Linked DNA regions of Arabidopsis thaliana. The protein of the gene in region 2 purifies or fractionates together with the protein of the main gene of each other region. This does not show direct contact. Each region holds a gene or a part of one and is shown on either strand. Other genes may lie near its edges. The genes, in order: IMD3, AT5G36210, IMD1 and LIN2.

Region 1 (4,776 bases), on a different chromosome or scaffold from region 2:
CTCTACAACTTAAGTACTTTAGTAAGAAAAAAACAACAAGAAGGATGAAGAAGACTACAAGAACACCAGCAGCCATGTCCCATGGCTTTAAACGGTACTCCCAATATGATTCCGCAATCCCAAGTGCAACATGACACATGTCAACTGCAGCAGCACCGAGTCTTCGCACTCCCCGACTCACATCAGTAAACTCTTTGAACAGTTCCATGTTAGTGCTCCATGCATCATCATGTTCATAACCAAACCCTGTGATAAGAAGTGCTCTCTCCACCTTCATTCAAACCCGAATAAATATCTAATAAACCAAAACCATTGAACACACCATGTCGAAACTTAAAATTGGATTCTTGATAAGTTACTTACAGCATCGGTCTTACTGACATGAATTTTTTGCCCGTTACACAATGCTCCACCACCTAAGAAGTGAACTAGTTAGACAAAATTTAGATATATAGCCAAACATAAGCTTGTCACATAGTACCTGCAGTTGCAGAAAAGGTTCGAGTGTTCCAGCACATCGGACCACCGACAAACTCTACCTGCATGATGAGATTTTGTTGTTAATCCTACTGACCAAAGAATCAGCAAATAGGAACTAACAAGCATTAGCTGGTTTGTGCAAGTATATATTGGATTTACCACAGAAGCAGCGGCGGGATTTCCACGATACAGAACACCGACGGAAACAGCAAAACTGGGATATCCATGAGCAAAATTTGTAGTTCCATCTATGCATAAAGGAATTAAGAGACTAATACTAAAAATCTCAGAGATTCCACACAAACACATGAAAAGAAAGCAATGAGATTTGTAAAGAGAGCTAAACCTAGAGGATCAATGCACCAGAGGTAATCAGAAGACGAATCGCCGATGATACCTCCTTCTTCACCAAGAATAAGATGATCACTAAAATTCTTCTTCACTACTTCCAAAATAGCAGCCTCGCTTGCTTTATCAGTACTGCAAATTCATCAAAAGTACTAAAACTTTAATAGCTTCAACCAATCAAGTCAACATGAACATAGTTAAAACCTCAAGCTAACAATTTTAAAAGGTGAAGAAGTCCTTACTCAGTTACTAAGTCACTGAGACCTTTATAAGTAATATTCCTTGGCTTATTTACAGCTTCCATAACCACCTAACAAACCAGATGATTCAATTCAAGTTAGTTTTGTTATTATTCTCCTTGTGCAGTTGTGCCCTACGAACCCAAGAACTTGATTCTAGTACCATTGAACACAATTTCAAGTCTCATCAAGAGTTTTTGTTTCCAATAAACATAAATTCAGATATTGTATTCTACAGACATGAAATTTCGAACCTCAGCGCCGGTTTTAGCGGCGAGTTCAACGACTTCAAGGAGGTGTGCCGGAGATATAGTTCCGGTGGTTTTAGCGCCGATTCTGGGATATCGCGTCTGATCAGAAACCTCAGACAGAACAGCTTTGGTTTGAAGTCTCGTTGTGGACTTGAAGCTATTAGACAAAATCCTCGTACACCGATATCGGAAAGTTCTGTTCACTGTCCGGCCTGAAATTGGGTTTTGCAGCGGAAGAGATGATCTGGGTAAGTGAGAGATTCTCAATGACATGTTTCCAGAGAATATTAGAGACCTTCCCATTGTTGGTGTCGCCGGAGAATTTTCGAATTTTTGTTGTTGTTCGGTTTTTGGTTTATATGAACGCGGCCAAGTGAACGGATGGTGGACATGAGAGAGTCCAAAAAGCTGATAGAACTTAAAATTGAAATTAATGAGAACATTGAACCAAAATCAGGTTAACAAATAACCAGAGATAACCGGTCTCTGTAGTATACTCAAATGGTTAGTTTTTGCCGATGGTGGTGCCCTAAACTCGAAAAAAAGATGGCGGCGTTTTTGCAAACTAACATCCGTCTGGAGATCATACCGGGAAGATACAGTTCTCTCACCGATCATAAGTTTCGTGCGCCGTATCGAATTAGGTGCGCCGCCGCTTCACCGGTGAAAAAACGGTATAACATCACTCTGCTTCCCGGCGATGGTATCGGTCCAGAAGTTATATCTGTTGCTAAGAATGTGCTTCAGAAAGCTGGATTTCTCCAAGGACTAGAGTTTGATTTCCAGGAGATGCCTTTCGGCGGAGCAGCTTTGGATTTGGTCGGAGTTCCATTGCCGGAGGAAACTTCCACTGCTGCTAAACAGTCTGATGCCATTCTTCTTGGAGCTATCGGAGGGTATGTGTAATGCGTGTGTGTGTTGTTTCTTCAGCAAATTTATTCTCTTTATGATGATTTTTTGTTCAGGTACAAATGGGACAAGAATGAGAAACATCTGAGACCTGAGATGGGTCTGCTTAACATTCGAAGAGATCTCAATGTCTTTGCTAATTTGAGACCTGCTACAGTTTTACCACAGGTATTGATTTGCTTATCACTTTGCTTTCTAGTTGTAAATATACTCAAATTTTTCTGTTTTTGCTTGTTCAGCTAGTTGATGCTTCCACACTGAAGAAAGAAGTAGCACAAGGTGTTGATATGATGATTGTAAGGGAGCTCACTGGAGGTATTTACTTTGGAGAGCCAAGAGGCATTACGATCAACGAAAATGGCGAAGAAGTCGGTTTTAATACAGAGATCTACGCTGCTCACGAGGTACTACTTACTCTTCACAATCTGCTGCTCTGTGACAATGTATGTGTATTAATGCATTGCTTTATCTTCTTCAGATTGACAGAATTGCTCGTGTTGCATTCGAGACTGCTAGGAAAAGGCGTGGCAAGCTGTGTTCTGTTGACAAAGCCAATGTCTTGGATGTATGTTTTGAATTGTTTTTCCACTCCACTCTTGTGTGTTTTTCGTTATACAATTATTTTTTTGTTTTGTTTCGTATAGGCATCAATATTGTGGAGGAAAAGAGTAACAGCTTTAGCCTCTGAATATCCAGATGTTGAACTATCACATATGTATGTCGATAATGCTGCGATGCAGCTTGTCCGTGACCCGAAACAGGTGATCTTCGCGCATATATAAAGCTTAGCCGTTGATTAAGCTAACACAGAAGTGGAACTTGTAGTACTCACGGCATTTTTAAAAACATTATTGCAGTTTGACACAATCGTCACCAATAACATTTTTGGTGATATATTGTCTGATGAAGCTTCAATGATCACTGGTAGCATTGGGATGCTTCCATCTGCAAGTCTTGGTGAATCGGTAAGTAAGACTAAATCTAATATTTCAAGGTTCCTCTGTTTATTATTATCATATATTGATTGTTAAACTTGTGATGAAAACTAGGGACCTGGACTCTTTGAACCTATACATGGTTCAGCACCAGATATAGCTGGACAAGACAAGGCAAACCCATTGGCCACCATTCTCAGTGCGGCGATGCTTCTCAAGTATGGACTTGGAGAAGAAAAGGCTGCAAAGATGATTGAAGACGCGGTCGTGGATGCTCTGAACAAAGGTTTCAGAACCGGAGACATCTACTCCCCCGGAAATGTATGTGTATGATGATTTCTGTCTTTTGTTTTGTATAAGTTAATGACAATATACTTAAAGAAGTCTTTTTGTGTTTTGAAAATGCAGAAACTGGTGGGATGCAAGGAAATGGGTGAGGAGGTTCTCAAATCAGTGGACTCCAAAGTTCCTGTTTAAGAAAAGTGTGTAGCCCTTGGTTTTACTGTTACTTTTTTGCTAATACATGTATTAGAAACTGTATTCTTGTAGCTTTTATAATAATAAAATATTTGGGATCGATTCTGCAATTCAAAGACAAAATTCTCCAAGAACATTTGACAAGTCTCCTGCCTCAGTACCTTGTTCTTGAAGATTGAGAAGTTCTCGCCAACTACAAAACTCAACATCTTCTTCAATCAATATTTGTTAAACGAATAAAGTTTCAAGAGAGACAAGAAACTATGTTTTTTAGCCGCTAGAGTATTACATTTTTCTACTGAAAAACCAAACTTATAAAACATAACATTTATAAATCCGAAAACAACTATCAATCATCAGGTTAGCCTTTGGATTCACGACGACTTATCAGATTTGCGTTCAGCGTCTGCGGCAGACTGCATTTGAGCTGCATATGGTAAGTTCCAGAGAACATCTTTAAAGGAAGTCTTGCAGAAGGTTCAAGCAAAACACATTTATTGGCGATTGAGATGGCAATTGGGTAAAGACTCCTGCGAGCTTGTTGTTAGGACCGTTGGACTTCCTATTTTCTGTCGACAGTCTTGGCTCCCAAATGACGTCTGCAAATACAACATTGCAGCAACAGCTATTAACAATGATGAAGATTTGCTTCTTTTCTTTACCCTATATGATACCATTTCGTTGAGAAGATAGGCCTCTCCTTTTTGTAGTAGGTACTGGTCCTATCAGAGATTCCAGAAGTATGAATCCAAAGTTGTACACATCGCCCTCTGTTTTAGCCATTTTCCTGCATAATTCCAAAGCTAAGAAACGTGATGAATCGAAATCGTCTGTGGCTTCCTTTAACTCTTCAAAAGAAAATGACCGGAATGAGGGCACACCTTGTGCACCTAGCTTTGCTGCTTGAGAGATTAACCCTGCAAGACGAAGTCGTACAAGGATATTAAATTCCTGAAAGACAATTGCCACCAGGCGGAGGTCTACAATTTGAGTCAAAGTTACTCACTTGCACTAGCAAGAACTTCGGAGGAGAGACTGGTGTGTGAGTTATCTCTGTCACAACCTTAAGCCGAGTTTGAGGCACTGACCTTTCTCTTGAACAACAGCAAGAGCAGCGGTTTATACACACAAGAACAA
Region 2 (8,174 bases):
TCTGAAGAAATAAACTAAACATATATTGTTCATTTATTTTTTAATAACCAAACATTGCATTTAAAAGTTAGTCTTTAAAAATAAAATTATTAATTAATAAAATCTTTATTTAAAATAAATGACAAATGTTTAGAATTTTTTTTTCTAAATAAACATATTTATTAATATTTATTGTTTCATACCAAAATTTAATATCCAAACACATTAGTAAATAGGATAATAATGAAGCAATTAATAAAATAATTGAATGACATATGAGAAATGTATATATTATTTTAAAATACGAATTTGTTTTTGTTTTGTGCACCAAGAAAAAATACTAATTCTATAACTTTTTTACACTCAATTAATGGTAATGATGAAAAATAAAATAATTATTAGTGAAATGGATCTTAGAAAAAAGGTAGAAAATTGATAATAATTAATTTATTAAAAGTATTTTGTGAAAAAGTACATGTAAACTTGTAGAGAAGTTTTAATTGTTTTGGGGAGAAGATTAAAAAAAACTTTTAATAATTTATTAGGAGAAAAAATAAGAAAAATTGAAAATCTAGTTTATGAGGCTTTAAAAAAGAAAGAGAATAAAGAAGAAAAAATAAAAAAGACTTTGAGAACTTACAAAAAAAATTAAGTAGAAAAAGCCTAATTGGCAAAAAAAAAAGACTTCAGCCTACTTTTAAAGTCTTGAAAGTCAGTAGCCAATCACCCCTTACAACTACATGCAAGAATACAATTTTGGAGTACTTTGTTGCTTCAACGGTAGTAAACCTGTGGCGAAGTATTGGAGAGCAATTAGCAGCAAACAAGGATCAAAGACTTAACGATTTGTCCTGAATGGTGCATCGAAGAAGACAAGGCCCATACTGATATCGTATTTGTAATACCAACTACCGATATCATATCACTGACAGCTTCATCAACCATTTCGATGATAATGACTAAAGCTGAAAAGACATACGTTAAGCAACATTGGCCCAAACCAACATTGACCTTAACACTGTGGTTATTTGCCGAGCCACCTCCTAGGCATTCCCATTCTAGTGAATATAGAAGGTTTTGGACTTTTGATGAACAAATTATCCGAAAACGTTAGTCCAAGCATGTATTTTCTCTAAATAATAAAAAAAAAGCAAATCTTTTCCAAACATATCTATTTAAGCATCGTTTTCTAAGTGTCGAAGTTGTCAATTTTCAAAGGAGTGATGTCATCAGCAACTTTGAACCCTCCAACCACTCGGGCAAAGAACACCATCTGTTGCTCAAGTGTGTATTTGATGTTTTCCGCCTGTTAATCAATGTATATAAGTAAAGTAATCCACTGTTAATCCTTATGACTTGTTATTATTAATGCAAGTGATCAAAAGCCTTACCTTGCGAAAACCGTGTTGTTCTCCTTCGTACTCGACAAGAGCAACAGGCAGACCTTTTTTCTTTAATGCTTCATAGATTTTACGTGATTGATCTGGAGTTACAACCTGCAATTTTTTCAGCATTTTAAACCAATCGTTAAGAATTTCGTATAGAAGTGAAAGACATTGTCTTCGCAAATGGATAACCAAATCTCGAATTTAAAAACTATCAAGAATCCAGAATATGATAAATCTAGTTAAGACTTCTGTTACTAGATGCATTCAAGAACTGCCAACAAAACAAAAGAATAAACCAAGAGCGGAAAATATAAGAACCTTGTCTTCTAGTCCTTGGAAAAGGATGATGGGACAAGAGAACTTATCGACGAAATTGATTGGTGATCTCTCATAGAAATCTTTTTCATCTCCTGCAATTACATACTCAAGAATTTTGGTAACCGATTTACAAAAACAAAAAGCAAAGATAAATGCTTTCTTCAATGCATTTGACTCACCAACAAGATTGTCGATATAACGGGATTCAAATTTATGACCTTCTTCTTTCAACATTTTTAAATCAGCCACCTGCGTTAAGAAAAGCCAATCCAAACTTCTATGAATTATCAGTTGTTTATAAGGTATTCATCCTGCATCATGCATTTGAAGAGAATTCGGTGGATTGTGAAATAGTATCACAATATATAAAGATAAGGCTAGAATTCATTTAGCTAAATGTTTTTCACTGATGCAATGATTCTGTACTCACTCCGTATAAGGACGCTCCAGCTTTGAAAACATCCCTGAACGCCAATGATGCAAGAGTTGTGTAACCTCCTGCAGAACCGCCAGATATACAGAGCCGCTTAACATCTGCCTTGCCAGAAGATACCTGCCCAAACCAAAAAAGTTTAGGAAATGCTTTCAAAGTCGTTCACATAAAATAGGCGAAGAAAGAACATACCAAGTATTTAGCACAGCCACAACAGTCATCAACGTCGACTATTCCCCACTGCCTTAACAACCGCTCTCGATACTCTCGACCATAACCTTCAAAATAATGTTACACTTTGTCACAATAAACCCACGTGTGTGCCCACATGGTGAGAATGGGACATCGTAACCAAGAAATCTCAAGACGAAATACTTTAGCAAGACTAACTATAAAGATGAAAAGATGCAACCGTACAACTGTAGCGAATTATGGGAACTTGTAGGTAAAGTAGAAGAAACAACTTGGAACCATAAGAACAAACCTGTGCTTCCACCATAATTGACATCAACAAATGCCCAACCTCGACTTGTCCAGTATTGGATATTCAGATTTAAGGATCCACGTGATTCAGCAGTAGGTCCTCCTGTAGATTCAGATTGTCAACAAAAATGATCGATGTGCCATGCATAGCTGATTGCAATATTTATGTTACAGCTAAAGTACATACTTGAAACGAAAACATGATCTTAAGATGAACAAGACTGAAACTGAGGAATTATTTTGATTAAGTTTTGAAAAATCGGGATGTCGTAAGTTTAACATACCATGACTCTTCACTAACAACGGAGGTTTCTCTTCCATGCTAGCATTGTAGAGCGGATTGGTTGGAGGATAAAAGTATGCATAAGCGTTCTGACCAGGAACCTCTGTTGGAAATTCAATCAACTCTGGCACGCTGAAGTAAGCCTTGTACTTCAAAACATCGGGTGACGACGACCAAACAATCTCAGAACTGAGTGCTTTCGTCTTATGCTGATCCAGTGTTACCTGTTGATAGGGGAAATTATAAATCTACTGCTACTACTTTTATATTAGACAACTTGTGCTCAGCTAAAACCTTAAATAGGAATCATTTTTACCCTGGCAACTGATGGTGGAAGAACTGCTGATGCTCCCTCAACATAAAGGCACTGATTTCCCAATGTCTGAAAATGGAAGCACAATTTCTCATTACTTTCAGATTCAATTGGGAATCAATTGAAATGGTTTTGCAAAAACTACAGAAAAATAAATATTACAATGCTGTCAAAATCCGTTAAAGGAATATCGAGCAGAGAACATGATCCCTGTGAATCATCTACAATGCCTAGATATGACTTCCCTTTCTGCCTGCATTCAGGAACAATAAATTGTTATCAAAACAGGTAAATCAGAAAATGGTTGAAAGTATTTGAATTTTGGTATTACCTATAGCTGCATGCAATTAGGTTCTTCTCTTCAGAACACTCGATTATCTCGTAGGAGTTAGTACCGAAAATCCATAGTGGTTTCGCAAACTCACCGTCGAGAGGATATACAGAAACAACCTCATTGGTACTCTCAATCTGTGACACATCGAGAAAGAGGAAAAAATTAAATAAGGAACAAGGTAGTCAACAGTAAACATGTGTCCTACATTGGGAATTTCTTTGTGCACCAAGTAGATTTAAGAAAAGCTTCAAGTTGGTGGCCACATATCAGTCTCTACCCAAGAGTTCTAAGAACTTAGCAATTAATACAACTAACAAAACAAACAGCTACCATTTGGGATGTATATGGTAAGCCAAAAACAAAACTCAAACAGTATGTGTCTAATGTAACAAAACTCAAACATTATGTGGCTTTTTTTTTATAGATAATTTTGAAAGAATGAGACTACAATCTTCTCCGAGAACAAAGGTTTGAATTTTAAAATCTGTCTAGTGAAGTTCGTAAAAAGCCAAGAAAAAATGTTTCCTCTATGCTTTCATAAGTGACTAAAAAACTACTATCCCTATTTCAAATCTAAAACTAATTCTCAGCATTATAGAGCAAAAGCACACTATGGAATTTACCAAATGTGGCTATAATTGGCAAATGTGAAGAATGTTTACCCATTTATGAATATTCCAACATCCATTCTTTCTGTCAGTTACAAAAAAGAGTTCCCCTGCACGATAAGTCAGAGAGTCTCAGGTCAATGGAACCTATGAGAAATACTAAAGCTTGACAGGCTTAATTACAATATGAAAAAATATAATTTATTCACCAATTTTAGAGCTCCAGTAAAACATCTAATGGTTTGGAGAATGATACGTGAAGGTTCATATCAGAGAACTATCATGATGACATCCATTAAAAGACTCTAGTTTCAGCCAAGGAGTTTTTAATAGCTAAAAATTATAAAGATAAGAAGCATATGCAAGGAATTTGTAGATCAACCTTTTTCTCAGTAAAATTCACAGTCCTTGTCACTTGGTTAGAAGAAGAAAGATGAATGCAAAGAGCGGAAACAACAAGAGAGCAGAGAGAAAAAGAATATCATTTTATGGAGAAGACCCTAGTTTCATCCAAAACAGAAAAAACTTATAAGAAAAGCTCAACTGCTAAAAGTATGAAACAAATAGAAAGTCAGAAATCCAAGGTCAGTGTCTAAGAACTGCAAATCAATCTTTTCCCAGAGGATTTCACAATCCTTGTAATTTTCTGCATATTTTTCATTTAAGACAAATACCTCTTGATGACCACTTCGGCTCAGTGGGTGATTCGACGTATTTGGGATCACAACCAGCAACACATACGCGCTTATCAATATTTCTGCAGAAGGGTGTAACTTTGATTAATATTTGCAATATGCAAAGCATTTGAAAAAAATTGCAAATGCTTACCCGCCCTCGGAAATGTACCCAACCCACAGCTCTGCTTTATCCCATGGCATATTAGGGTGACTCCATTCAATCCATGCCAATCGCTCACACTTGGGATCCAACCGTGGAAATGCATAGAAATCATTGCCACTTACGAGTACTTTTGGTTCTGGATCTCAAATATCAGAAAGAACACATATGAGTGTCAATGATCAGCTGTAATAAGTTGGAAACTTAGAAACATGTACTACATGGCACTACTGACATAACTCACATCCCCTATAGACTCTTTCAATGGGAGTAAGAATACTTCTTTCACTAAAGTTTGATAATCTACCTTCAAGTGTCTCTCCACTTAGATTAACCTCCACGATTGTTGTAATTGGGTTTGATCTATCCTGGCGACCATCTATAAACACCAGTCAAACAATAACATGTAAATCTCGATAAAAACACAATCAAACATCAAGAGAGTCACCAATACTAAACACTAGAGACAAACCAACCTTCCCTAACAGTAACATAACGGTTAAAGCGTGAATCAAAGACTCCATCTGCATAAGTAACAGCTGGTGTACCATAATCTGGAGTAATTGGCTTTGGAGATGAATCTACACACATCAACCATCAAAACAAACAACATCAGAACTTGCCAACAAGAAATTTACATAGCTAGAATCAGTGAAGAGGTTATCTATCACCTTTATCAGTAATGTCTTGCTTGTACAATCGCTGATCCTTGTAATTAGAGAACACAAGTGTATCATCTGATGAAATCTGGAAAGCACCACCACCGTATTCTTGTGTTAAAGTTCTCACAGCGAAGTCTTTTGGAGTAATATCAATTGATGTTTCTCCTTGTAGCACCAAAACTCCTCTCCTTCAATCATATCAAGCTCGCAATCAAATTAGGGTTTTCATTTTCAAAATCAATCAAAAGAAGAAGAAGTAATACCCGGATTCGTTAGGGCGAGACTCGAGCAAGACGAGACGGCCATGAGAATCGACGGCGGTGCCGCCAAGACGCTTTGAAGCTCCGGAAACGATGTCGGCGGTGATTGGAGATTTCCAGGAGCCATAAGGAGCGGTGGTTAGAGGAGTCTGAGCAGCGTCGGGGGAAGAAGAAGACATGGATGCGAAGGAGCGAAGTGGTTTGAGTGAGAAGCGATTGAATCGTCTGATCGAAGAAGAGAAGGAACGAGAAAGGAAGAGATTGTGAGCGGAAGAAGAAGGCAAGCGAGTGAGTGAGAATGAGACTAGGTGATTGAGTGAGGTCAACAACAACAATGCCATTTATTTACTCATCCACTCTTTGCTTGTTTTCGCTATAGGTTTTTGAATTATATGTTTTTTTGGGTCATCCAAGTGGCCGCGATCCGAACACTTCACCAGATCATTCAATCGGTAGGAGCAACGGACTGTTTGTACAAAGGGCATGGACGTAGTCAACACGAGCTGATGACTCGCGCTTACTAAGAATTCCTCGTTGGAAACCAACAATTACAATGATCTATCCTCATTACGATGAAATTTCAAAAGTTACCCGGGTCTGTCGGCCAAAGTGTGAACTCGTTGAATACATTAGTGTAGCGCGCGTGTGACTCAGAACATTTAAGGACATCACAGACCTGTTATTGCCTCAAACTTCCTTGGCCTAAACGGTCATAGTCCCTCTAGAAGCCGTTTACTTTTCTTATAATACTCGATTGCTTTTCTATAAATCTGCTAGTAACACTTATTAAAAATAATTAAGATAGCCATAATAATCCATCAAGATTTTACATGTAGAGAGAATCATTGATTTGCATTAACATGTCACACATCTTTTATTCGTAGTTTCAACAATTTTAGGAAATAATCTTATGTAGAAATGGACGAGCTTTGCAAATAGCTTTCAAAGGAATCGCTTTGGGTACAGTATTCCCAACTCCTTCCTTCATATCCACTTCCACATTCCCAACTCTCTCCCATTCAAAGCATTGTATCAATGACCCGAGAGCTAGTCCCACGATTCGTTGGGCCAGACCCGATCCAGGACACGCTCTTCTACCTAATCCAAACGCCAGAAGCTTTTGTGCTTCCTCTTCTTTCTCAAACCGCTCTGGTTTAAAGCTATCCGGATCATCCCACGTGTTTGGATCCCTATGTATGGCCCATGCATTCACCAACAACGTTGTACCACGTGGCATATCGTAGGATCCTATCTTGCAATCTTCTGATGCCATGTGTGGGACTAGCAATGGTGTAGCTGGGTGTAGCCTAAGGGTCTCAAGGACAATGTTCTTTAGATATGGTAGCTCGCTAAGATCTGCTTCTTCGATAAGCCGGTCTAAACCAACCCGGTTATCGATTTCGTCTCTCGCTTTAGATATTACGTCAGGATGGTTAAGCAAATTGGAAAGTGCCCATTCTAGAGTGACTGCTGATGTGTTAGTCCCTGCTATTACCATTATCTGCATTAACATAATAACATCAGACAATTTATCTTACTTATAATCAAAGTTAACAAAAGATCTAATAATTAATAGAAAAAATAAAGGAAGAAGAAATAAACCAGTATGATGCCTTTGATGATTTGATCAGTGTAATACTCAATATCAGATTTTTGGAGGACAAGCAAATGATCGATCATTGTAGTACCGGTTTCTTGTTGCCCACGTTTATCGTCAATGAGACCTTGTAAAAACTTATCTGTCTCCTCTCCTAACTTTTTAACCCTATTTTCATAACTTGAAAACAGTCTGAGGATGGGGACGTAGTCAACGGCGTTGCCTGAACTCGTGTTAGCCCCAACATCTGCTACCAACTTACGGACACGCTTTGCTTCTTCCTCATCGGTTGTTTCTTCACCGTAGTATCGTTTTCCGGTCATCATTCTCATTATGTTGTTGAATGTCAAGTCCATAAGCATTGGTTTCAATTCCACAACAGTTTTTTTGGTTCCTGCAATTATTAAAAGAAAAAGGAAAATCGAGAACCAAACGAGAACCAAAAATAGAGTAGTCGAGCTTTTCTTCATTACTTTGTAAAATGTTTTTAGAAATCTCTATTCTAAAAATATTGACGTAAAACGTTCTAAAAGTAAAAGAGTTTTAAGAAATCTTCATGGTACGATTGACGCCCACAAAGACTCAGTGGTCAATATAATTAGCACTTAAATAACACCAAAAAAAATTGAAAAGTTGACTAGTCTTTATCAACAAACTTCACGACGATGAAAAAAACACA
Region 3 (4,726 bases), 9.7 Mb from region 2:
GGGGTTATCACGTACGTTTATAGGAAAGTGAAAATGGTTTTATATAGAGAGAAGGGGTGACGGATAAGATAATAGAAAATGGAATTATTAGCTATTTATAAAAATGCAAAACCACGTTAGCAACTATGGATAGACAAAAACTTATTTAGAAAAAAAAACAATTTATGGTGTGTAAACATAAATTAAGAATTGAATCATGCACAAAAAATAAGACAAGCATTTATGAATAGTTTCTAGAAGTGGTGAATCATCCACTGCTATCGTCGATACAACATTTACTAAAGTTTCTATATATAAGTGGAGGGATGATCAGTGTGACCATGCCATGATTTCTAACTTTTTTGAGAGAGCGAGGTTATTATGATAAACATTTAAAATAATACGTGGAACTGAGATGAATGGAAAATAATCTTTATAAAAGAGAAAAAAAAAAATAGAAGATCTCATGATAATAAAAGTACTTCCATATGTTTTCAATGTGAAGAAAAGAATAGTAAAGGAGATACATCCAATAGCTTAGTCTAGAAAAGAGCTGACTAATTTTTTTTAAAAACAAGATCTCTGGTTTGTATATTTGTATCGATTACACAGCCTAGATATATAAAACACAAAACTTGATGGAGACAATTTCATATCCTATATATACACATTAATTTAATGAGTGAATAGTAATAGCAACTAGCAAGGCAATCTAAACAAAATTAAGAAAAGAAAAATGTTAAATTCCTGAGATCTATAATAACTCATAAGCAAAAAATATATTTAAAAAAATCATACAAATGTTGTAATAATATCATTTTGTTTTAATGTGGAGTGATAAAAAGAAGATAGGACGAAAGAAGAAACTGTTAAAGGCGATTGTAGATGCTGTAGGGACGGATAAATGGACTATGACATCAGTTTCCGTTACTTGTTTCTTCTCGAACTCAAAGAAGAAAGAAAAAAAAAAAAAAAATTCTACATCGGTACGCTTTCGTTTCACACCCTGCATGCACACAGTGTCCGGTAGTCAAAAATACAAAAAAAAGAAAAAAAACCTCGAGACATGCTAAATTTGGATAATGATTAATAATTTGGGGGTACACAATGTTCCAAATAATTTATATACAAAGTCTTGCTTTCATATTATTTGTGTGTCCACACTTCAACAATATAGTATTATACTATTATCCCTATCCCCTATGAAGTATGAACACACTTTTTATGATACGTATCATATTCAGAAAACATCAAAAATTGGTCATAACTCTCACGTGGTGTGGTGGATTTGCCTCGCCTTTCGTTTCTGTTTTTTGCAAATATTTAAGAATCTTTGGTCATTTAGGCTTTAATTTAGTTACTTTAAATTTATTTTTGTTATAGAAGTATTATGTTAAAAACAGTTCGTGTTCATCCTTGGACTAACCAGACGATTTGACAAAATCCGAATATCCGATCATAAAATTAAATAATCAGCCGTTATTGTTCCTCTACTACTACGTTTTAACTTTTAAGAACTTCTCCTGGTACTTTGATGGGCTATAAGAGCGGCCCAATATTTCGACTTTAAAATGGGCCAATCTTTGGTAAAGGCCCAATTATAGTGGCGCTTCTTCTTCTTCTTTTCCTAAACAAGCAATGGCATGGTTTAGCTGGTGAGCCAGTTTATAGGTAAAAAGGATAATTTAAGCCATTTAAAAAAACAAATCTTTAATGGCGTAATTCAAAAAACGTGCACACCTATCTAAGTACCAAACTCTTTATGTTATATAACTATTGTGACACAATTTCAAATTTGCTAACTCCCAAAAAAAATGGCGGCGTTTTTGCAAACGAACATCAGTCTGAATGCGATCAAGATCGTCCCGGGGAAATACAGTTCTCTCACCGATCATCAGTTTCGTGCGCCGTATCGAATTAGGTGCGCCGCCGCTTCACCTGGGAAAAAACGGTATAACATCGCTCTGCTTCCCGGAGACGGTATCGGTCCAGAAGTTATCTCTGTTGCTAAGAATGTGCTTCAGAAAGCTGGATCTCTCGAAGGTTCTTTCTCTTTCTCAATGGTTTTTGGAAACAACGAGTGTGTTTGCTTAGCCAGTAGATGATTGTGTCTTTGCTTTTGTATCACAGGACTGGAGTTTGATTTCAAGGAGATGCCTGTCGGAGGAGCAGCCTTGGATTTGGTTGGAGTTCCATTGCCGGAGGAAACTTTCACGGCTGCAAAACTATCTGATGCCATTCTTCTTGGAGCTATTGGAGGGTATGTGTGTGAGTGCTGTTTCTTTAGCAATCTGCTTCCAAATTTATTCTGATCTTGAGGTTTGGATGATTATTGTTCAGGTACAAATGGGACAAGAATGAGAAACATCTGAGACCTGAGATGGCTCTGTTTTACCTTAGAAGAGATCTCAAAGTCTTTGCTAATTTGAGACCTGCTACAGTTTTGCCACAGGTATCTTCGGTTTTGATTTGCTTAGCACTTGAATTTTGCTTCTAGTTGTAAATAAACTCAAATGTTTCTGTTTTGCTTGTTCAGCTAGTTGATGCTTCCACACTGAAGAAAGAAGTAGCAGAAGGTGTTGATATGATGATTGTTAGGGAGCTCACAGGAGGTATTTACTTTGGAGAGCCAAGAGGCATTACGATCAATGAAAATGGCGAAGAAGTCGGCGTTAGTACAGAGATCTACGCTGCTCACGAGGTAATAACCCTTCACACTGTGCTCTGTGACAATATTGGCAATGTATGGATATTAATGCATTGATTTATGTTCTTCAGATTGACAGAATTGCTCGTGTAGCATTCGAGACTGCTAGGAAAAGGCGTGGCAAACTTTGTTCTGTTGACAAAGCCAATGTGTTGGATGTACGTTCTGTTAGTTCACTGAATTGTTTTTCCACTTTTGTGTGTTTTACGAAATGCAAATTTCTTTGTTTCATGTAGGCATCAATATTGTGGAGGAAAAGAGTAACAGCTTTAGCCTCTGAATATCCAGATGTTGAACTATCACATATGTATGTCGATAATGCTGCAATGCAGCTTATTCGTGACCCGAAACAGGTGCTTCTCGCACATATATCAAACTTAGTCGTTGATTAAGCTAACTCAGAAGTGGAACTAGTACTCACGGTGTTTTTAAAACAATGCAGTTTGACACAATCGTTACCAATAACATTTTTGGTGATATATTGTCTGATGAAGCTTCAATGATCACTGGAAGCATTGGAATGCTTCCATCTGCTAGTCTCGGTGAATCGGTAAACAAAATTAACTAACATCTTTCAAGGCTCCTCCTGTTTATAAACTAATGCGAAATGTTAAACTTGTGATGAAATCAGGGACCTGGACTCTTTGAACCTATACATGGTTCAGCACCAGATATAGCTGGACAAGACAAGGCAAACCCATTGGCCACCATTCTCAGCGCGGCGATGCTTCTGAAGTATGGACTTGGAGAAGAAAAGGCTGCAAAGAGGATTGAAGACGCTGTCGTGGATGCTCTGAACAAAGGGTTCAGAACCGGAGACATCTACTCCCCTGGAAATGTATGTGCATGATGATTCTTATCATTTGTTTTGTACAAGTTCGTAACAAAATACTTAAAAAAGTCTTTTGTGTTTTGAAAATGCAGAAACTGGTGGGATGCAAGGAAATGGGTGAGGAGGTTCTCAAATCAGTGGAATCCAAAGTTCCAGCTACTGTTTAAGTTTATTGATGATTTGAAGCACTTGAAAAAGTTTGTGTAGCACTTGGTTTTACGGTCACTTATATGCTAATCCATGCAACATTGTACCTTTTATAATAAATAAATTATTTGGGATCGATTCTGCAATTCAAAGACAAGATTCTCCAAAAACATTTGACAGGTCTCCTGCCTTTACTTACCTTGTTCTTGAAGATTGAGAATTTCTCTTCAACTACAAGACTCAATATCTTCTTCAATCAATATTTGTTTAACGAAATAAGTTTCAAGAGAAGACAAGCTACTATGATTTTTAGTCTCAAGAGTCTTACATTTTTATACTGAAAACCAAACTTATAGAGCTTTACATTTAGAAAACCGAAAAAACTATCAATCATTAGGTTAGCCTTTGGATTCACGACGACGTATCAGATTTGCGTTCAGCGTCTGCGGCAGACTGCATTTGAGCTGCGTATTGTAAGTTCCAGAGAACATCTTCAAAGGAAGGTCTTGCGGAAGGTTCAAGCAAAACACATTTATTGGCGATTGAGATCGCAATCGATAAAGACTCCTGCGAGCTTGTTGTTAGGACTGTTGGACTTACTATTTTCTGCCGACCGTCTTGGCTCCCAAATGATGTCTGCAAACACAACATTGCAGCAACAGCTATTAACCAAATTTGTTTCAATCAAATAACAATGATGATGCTTTTTTTTTTTGCTTTTTCTCTTTGTTACCATTTCGTTGAGAAGAAAAGCCTCTCCTTTTGTAGTGGGCACTGGTCCTATCAGAGATTCCAGAAGTATGAATCCGAAGTTGTACACATCGTCCTCTCTTTTAGCCTTTTTCCTGCATAATCTCAAAGTTTGGATTAGATTCTCATAAATGCCATGGAGTTTTGCTATACAAGGACAAAAGATGCATACTTTGACTTGTGGGTTTCTGACTTTGTCTGCAAAATGTAGAAGCAGGAGTAAAGTAGAGTCCTGAGTTAGTGTCAAAGAAGATCATACAAAATGAAGATAAACACAGTGAAAGAGAGTAAATAGAGCAAACCTCAAGCTT
Region 4 (4,880 bases), on a different chromosome or scaffold from region 2:
GGGCCGGGGTGAGCGTAACACGCAAAAGGAGTTTGTGCAACGGTCGATAAAACTCTTTGCCGCAACTTTCCATGGCTTATTAGTGTGTAATGAATAAGACAAAAAACATTAAAGTAGTCGGGAAAAATAAAATATTAAAGTAAATATAAAAAATTGATGAACCTCATATTTAGTTCTTCATTTGGCTTTGTTTCATTATTAGCTCTTTTTACAATAAGACAAGTGAATCTATTTTTTTTCTTTTTAAGGATGTTATTGTCTTTGAATAATTTTAAATTTGTACCCTATTTATAGATTAAAGTATTGATTAACACTTACAGGCGTTAAGCACTATTTCTACATAAAAAAAATACACTGATTTGCATAGAATTCTGTACAAACAAACAAAAAATAGAAATTTATTGCTTTATTTGGGGATTATTAAATGATTCAGGGCGTAATAACGAGAGAGATGAAAAAAAAAGGAAATTATGACAGCTAACACTAAGAGGCTTGATGACAAAAAAAAAAAAAAAAAAAAATACTAAGAGGCCTAATGGCTTACATTAGGCTGGGCTGATCACTGTTTCTTCTCTTTGGAAAAGCTCAGATTTCAACACTTTGAGCAATAAGTTTTTGTTTTGGGTTCTTAAGGAGGATATGGATTTGGATTAGAGTCCGTAGATAAGCATGTCACTTGTGAAAAAGTTGAATGCACAAGTTGTCTTCGTTGCCATTGGCAAAAGAAAGAAACGAAACGACAGCGTAACAGACGCATGTTAACATGCACATCACAAGGCTAGAGTATAACTTTCTTTTCAGTAATCTAATCCTCTAAAGCTGCTCAAAACTTGCAAGAAACCAACTGTTTGCATTGGTAAGTTTTGACTTTTAACAACACTGCTCTTAGTTTGTCTTCATTGCCATCGCAAAGAGAGAAAGGAGATGATGTTAACATGCACATCACAAGACTAGATTTTGACCTGACCTTACACACTCTCTTTCTCCATCTCTCCAGTTATCTAATCCTCTAAAGCTGCTCAAAACTTACATGAAACAATGGAAATAAACTCACTCTTCTCACAACAATGGGAAACACAGGCTAGATCCACTCCTTCGGGTTGATGCAAGCATCCAATAGCTTCCACTCTTCGGTCCCCTCTTCCGGTTTCTGCACTCACAAACACCATTACTACATTGCCATATTCAATTGAATTTAGACCAAGTTTCTTCACAAATGAGGAAAGAACTTACATGGTCATATTCCCATCTTGCTGAAAGCGGAAGAGAGACGAGAATGCTCTCTATTCGTCCTCCTGTCTTCAGACCAAATGTCGTTCCCCGATCATATACCTTCCATCCATCATTACAAATACATTAGTGAACAAGGTTCATAACGAAAGATTGGAGAGATGAGAGTGAGAACAGAGAAAAAGACTAATGTTTTGGTCATAGTACCAAGTTGAATTCGACATATCGCCCTCGTCGCAACTGTTGCCATGCCTTGTGCTGCTCTGTAAATTCCATGTCTTTCCTTTTCTCTACTATAGGTATATAAGCCGGCACCACTGAGTTTGCGCATTCTGTAAACACCAATTGCTAAATTAGTCTACCAAGAAACTAGACCAATTAAAATAAATCGTTTGTTGTAGATTGAGGACAATCAGTCCCTTACCAGTGGCAAATGACAGAAGCATTTCCTGATCATAGTCATTAAGATCATCAAAAAATATCCCTCCAAGTCCTCGTCTCTCATCACGGTGCTGCAAGCAAAATCAAAGATTTCTAAGAAAAGTTTTCAAAGCCCTCACACTAACAATAGGCTTCTGAACGTCTCTCTAAGCAGTTTCTACCCTCTCAGATTTGACTATAACATCCCTAAACACAACTCAAAGAATAAGGCCCTCAGTTCCAGAAAATGCTTCAGGATCTCACAAAACTTACCTTGATGTAAAAGTAGTCATCACACCACTTCTTGAATCGGGGATAGAAGGAAGGGTCAAATTTGTCACAGGCTTGCTTTTGAATCTACAACAACAAAGAGCAGTTTATATAAAAGCAACTCCATGATCACAAAGCTCATATCTTTAGAACAAGGAATAAGGCTCAGTACCGAATGGAAATGCTTGACATCTTCTTCAAAGATGTAAGCAGGAGTGAAATCAGTGCCACCACCAAACCACCATTGCCTTGGAGCTCCAGGAACATCTGCGCCGTTGAAAATTAAAAACTTAAGACTGTTGTCCAAACAAAAGACAACAACTTTACAATCTCACTGAGACTTTAGCTTTTTTACCCTTTGGAGCATCTGTCTCGAAATAGCGATAATTGAAATGCAGGGTTGGGGCAAAAGGGTTCTTGGGATGCAAAACCTAGAATCACACAGAAATCCGTAATGATAAAACATGAGAACCTCCAAGAATCGTAAAATTGAAGGGAGAGATTCATTACCGAGCTGACTCCAGCAGCGAAGAACGGAACAGGACCAGGTTTCTGATCAGAAGCTGAGCCCTTTGCAGCTCTATAAGCTTCAGGAGGCATAACACCATAAACCACAGAGACATTAACACCAGCTTTCTCAAAGACATTCCCGTCCTGCAACACACGACTGATTCCACCGCCACCACCAGGTCGAGACCAAACATCTTCTTTAAACTTAGGACCGCCTTCTATAGCTTCAATTGCATCACAAACACTGTCTTGAGCAGCCCTAATCATAGTCTCGAAACGAGCCCTGACGGAAGAAGAAGAAGAAGATGGAGTGACGTCATCAGAATCCCTAAGGAAAGTAAAGGGTCGTTCAGTTTCGGGAACTTCTTTCTCAATTGAGACTGAACATCGCAAGGCGAGATTAGGTTTATTTCTGATTGGACGGGAGAATCTGAGAGTAGAGGGATTGGGAGAATAATGAAGACGATGAGAGGAGAAAGGAGCGAAAGTAGGAGAAGAGAGGAGAGTCGACGAGTGAGAAGCCATGTTTGATCCGAATTTGGATTTGATGCTGAAGAAGAAGATGATGATGGAGAGATATTAAATGATAAGAAGTCTTCGTCGTCCACTGATTTTGACCGCTCTTCCTTTTTATTTAACAGCTCAAGGTAAAAGAAAACACAGTTCCAGTCTTCTCAGACTAAACCACTTCTGAATTATTTAGCCGAAACCAAACCAGACACGAAATTAAAATTGCGGTTTAATTTGGTCGAACCGAAGATATTGATACACAATAGGCTCTTATCCTTCTTAACGGGCTTAATTGCCCAAATTAGGCCCAAAACGATTAGCCGGTTTACGGCACTATGCTATTTTGATGTGGATAAATCATGGTCATGTAATATATCTTTATCTATCGTTAGAATCTGTGATAAACAAAACAAAAGTGTATTATAGATTCGAATCCTATCTAATTATTATTTCAAATAACCAAATAGATGTAATTACAACCGTCTTATTCTTTCCAAAAAATAGTTAATCGCTGACAAAAGAAAATCCGGTTGGGCCCATCACGTTGTCTATATATTCATGATCATATAGAGAGTTCAGCCGCTTGACCTGCGAGGAATTCAAGAAAACCCTGCTTCACAGAGCAGTATTACACAAGAGACGAAAGAGCACTTTTAACCTTAGCAATTATATAGGTACCTTAGCTAGTTCTTCTTCGAATCTATACGATCGATATGAAGATTCTTCCGGTTGGATCACGGTTTTGTCCGACGGATCTAGGGTTGGTGAGGCTTTATCTTCGAAACAAGGTGGAGAGAAATCAGAGCAGTTTCATAACAACTATGGACATCCACCAAGACTACCCTTGGCTTCTTCCTCACGTAAACAATCCTTTGTTCAATAACAACGAGTGGTACTACTTTGTTCCGCTTACTGAACGAGGTGGCAAGATATTAAGCGTACACCGGAAGGTAGCCGCAAGAGGAGGAAGCGAAGGCGGCACTTGGAGAAGCAACGATGGGAAAAAAGAGATCAAGGACGGACACATGCAAAAGGGTGATGGGTTACGAGCAGTCTTTCACGTACCACAGGAGAGTGCATGGAAAGCTTGTCAAGACCGATTGACAGAAGATGGAGTATTCTCTTCACTAGAGTGATGACCTCCAAAAGGTTGTCTTGTGTCGGATCCGATACAAGAAAGAGGCGAACGTCAACGAGTTTGGACTCGTTAACCATCAGGCTCATCAGACTCAGGTGGCGGAGAACACCAACAACATCTTACGGAACCAAGTAGTGTAAGAAGAGGATGCTTTAACCGGTTTTGCTGATCAGCTTGAGATGATGCTAGAGGGACAAGAAGACCGTGAGCAGAAAGAAGAGGCTGATTTAACCGGTTTTGCTGATAGCCTTGAGACGATGCTAGAGGGACAAGAAGATCATGAGCAGCCAGAAGATGCTGATTTAACCGGTTTTGCTGATAGCCTTGAGACGATGCTAGAGGGACATGAAGATCGTGAGCAGCCAGAAGAGGCTGAATTAACCGGTTTTGCTAATGATGACCTTGAGACGATGATGCTAGATGGAGAATAATCTCGCGAAGTTACTCAACAACAACAACAACAACAACAACAACAACAACGTCAAGAAGATTGTGACGTTACTCAAGAGCAAGAAAAAGATGATGTGATGGTACTGATAAACAATCCTAATGATGCCCTCGCATTGGGGAATTATGAGATTATTGATCTAACTAGGGTTGATAAATGATACGACACAAACCAGAGAGGATAGAATTATATTTTAGTGGGTTGAGTTGATATGTGACAAAGATTACTATAGACATATGGTTAGTGTATTTGTGTAACTCCGGTAAAGGAGATATCATAAAAATAGTGGATTTTCCGGGGTAAAATTCTAGTTTAACGAACTTTATTTTAGTTTGTACTTTTGTTTTTCCATAA

The links.
Region 1: the proteins of AT5G36210 (region 2) and IMD3 fractionate together in Arabidopsis thaliana (co-fractionation; one large-scale study listed by BioGRID). This does not show direct contact.
Region 3: the proteins of AT5G36210 (region 2) and IMD1 fractionate together in Arabidopsis thaliana (co-fractionation; one large-scale study listed by BioGRID). This does not show direct contact.
Region 4: the proteins of AT5G36210 (region 2) and LIN2 fractionate together in Arabidopsis thaliana (co-fractionation; one large-scale study listed by BioGRID). This does not show direct contact.

Annotation. Positions count from the first base shown.
Region 1 is NC_003070.9:11,141,706-11,146,481, reverse strand, and holds IMD3 (isopropylmalate dehydrogenase 3), read left to right. Parts: upstream 1-1,764; 5' UTR 1,765-1,819; coding exon 1,820-2,214; intron 2,215-2,283; coding exon 2,284-2,395; intron 2,396-2,466; coding exon 2,467-2,631; intron 2,632-2,705; coding exon 2,706-2,792; intron 2,793-2,871; coding exon 2,872-2,988; intron 2,989-3,084; coding exon 3,085-3,192; intron 3,193-3,276; coding exon 3,277-3,483; intron 3,484-3,570; coding exon 3,571-3,639; 3' UTR 3,640-4,021; downstream 4,022-4,776. Other genes in the region: IMPL1 (myo-inositol monophosphatase like 1), read right to left, coding at 59-271, 364-416, 482-539, 640-728, 827-960, 1,071-1,138, 1,322-1,621.
Region 2 is NC_003076.8:14,247,034-14,255,207, forward strand, and holds AT5G36210 (alpha/beta-Hydrolases superfamily protein), read right to left. Parts: upstream 6,402-8,174; 5' UTR 6,240-6,401; coding exon 5,902-6,239; intron 5,827-5,901; coding exon 5,648-5,826; intron 5,558-5,647; coding exon 5,453-5,557; intron 5,356-5,452; coding exon 5,284-5,355; intron 5,116-5,283; coding exon 4,968-5,115; intron 4,897-4,967; coding exon 4,814-4,896; intron 4,250-4,813; coding exon 4,194-4,249; intron 3,666-4,193; coding exon 3,529-3,665; intron 3,451-3,528; coding exon 3,360-3,450; intron 3,267-3,359; coding exon 3,201-3,266; intron 3,109-3,200; coding exon 2,886-3,108; intron 2,705-2,885; coding exon 2,603-2,704; intron 2,397-2,602; coding exon 2,311-2,396; intron 2,239-2,310; coding exon 2,116-2,238; intron 1,935-2,115; coding exon 1,865-1,934; intron 1,778-1,864; coding exon 1,686-1,777; intron 1,476-1,685; coding exon 1,371-1,475; intron 1,286-1,370; coding exon 1,169-1,285; 3' UTR 446-1,168; downstream 1-445. Other genes in the region: CYP81D1 (cytochrome p450 81d1), read right to left, coding at 6,794-7,399, 7,501-7,889.
Region 3 is NC_003076.8:4,574,427-4,579,152, forward strand, and holds IMD1 (isopropylmalate dehydrogenase 1), read left to right. Parts: upstream 1-1,696; 5' UTR 1,697-1,793; coding exon 1,794-2,022; intron 2,023-2,109; coding exon 2,110-2,239; intron 2,240-2,319; coding exon 2,320-2,431; intron 2,432-2,515; coding exon 2,516-2,680; intron 2,681-2,757; coding exon 2,758-2,844; intron 2,845-2,922; coding exon 2,923-3,039; coding exon of another isoform or gene 3,040-3,041; intron 3,042-3,128; coding exon 3,129-3,236; intron 3,237-3,317; coding exon 3,318-3,524; coding exon of another isoform or gene 3,525-3,536; exon of another isoform or gene 3,537-3,610; coding exon 3,611-3,685; 3' UTR 3,686-3,976; downstream 3,977-4,726. Other genes in the region: AT5G14210 (Leucine-rich repeat protein kinase family protein), read right to left, coding at 4,077-4,301, 4,399-4,510, 4,588-4,613, 4,718-4,726. UniProt on the Arabidopsis thaliana protein: Involved in both glucosinolate and leucine biosynthesis; catalyzes the oxidative decarboxylation step in both leucine biosynthesis (primary metabolism) and methionine chain elongation of glucosinolates (specialized metabolism).
Region 4 is NC_003070.9:868,221-873,100, forward strand, and holds LIN2 (Coproporphyrinogen III oxidase), read right to left. Parts: upstream 3,089-4,880; 5' UTR 2,956-3,088; coding exon 2,431-2,955; intron 2,352-2,430; coding exon 2,276-2,351; intron 2,188-2,275; coding exon 2,093-2,187; intron 2,008-2,092; coding exon 1,924-2,007; intron 1,743-1,923; coding exon 1,655-1,742; intron 1,563-1,654; coding exon 1,438-1,562; intron 1,333-1,437; coding exon 1,234-1,332; intron 1,151-1,233; coding exon 1,082-1,150; 3' UTR 633-1,081; downstream 1-632. Other genes in the region: NAC006 (NAC domain containing protein 6), read left to right, coding at 3,654-3,992, 4,072-4,173, 4,225-4,462, 4,520-4,686. UniProt on the Arabidopsis thaliana protein: Key enzyme in heme biosynthesis. Catalyzes the oxidative decarboxylation of propionic acid side chains of rings A and B of coproporphyrinogen III.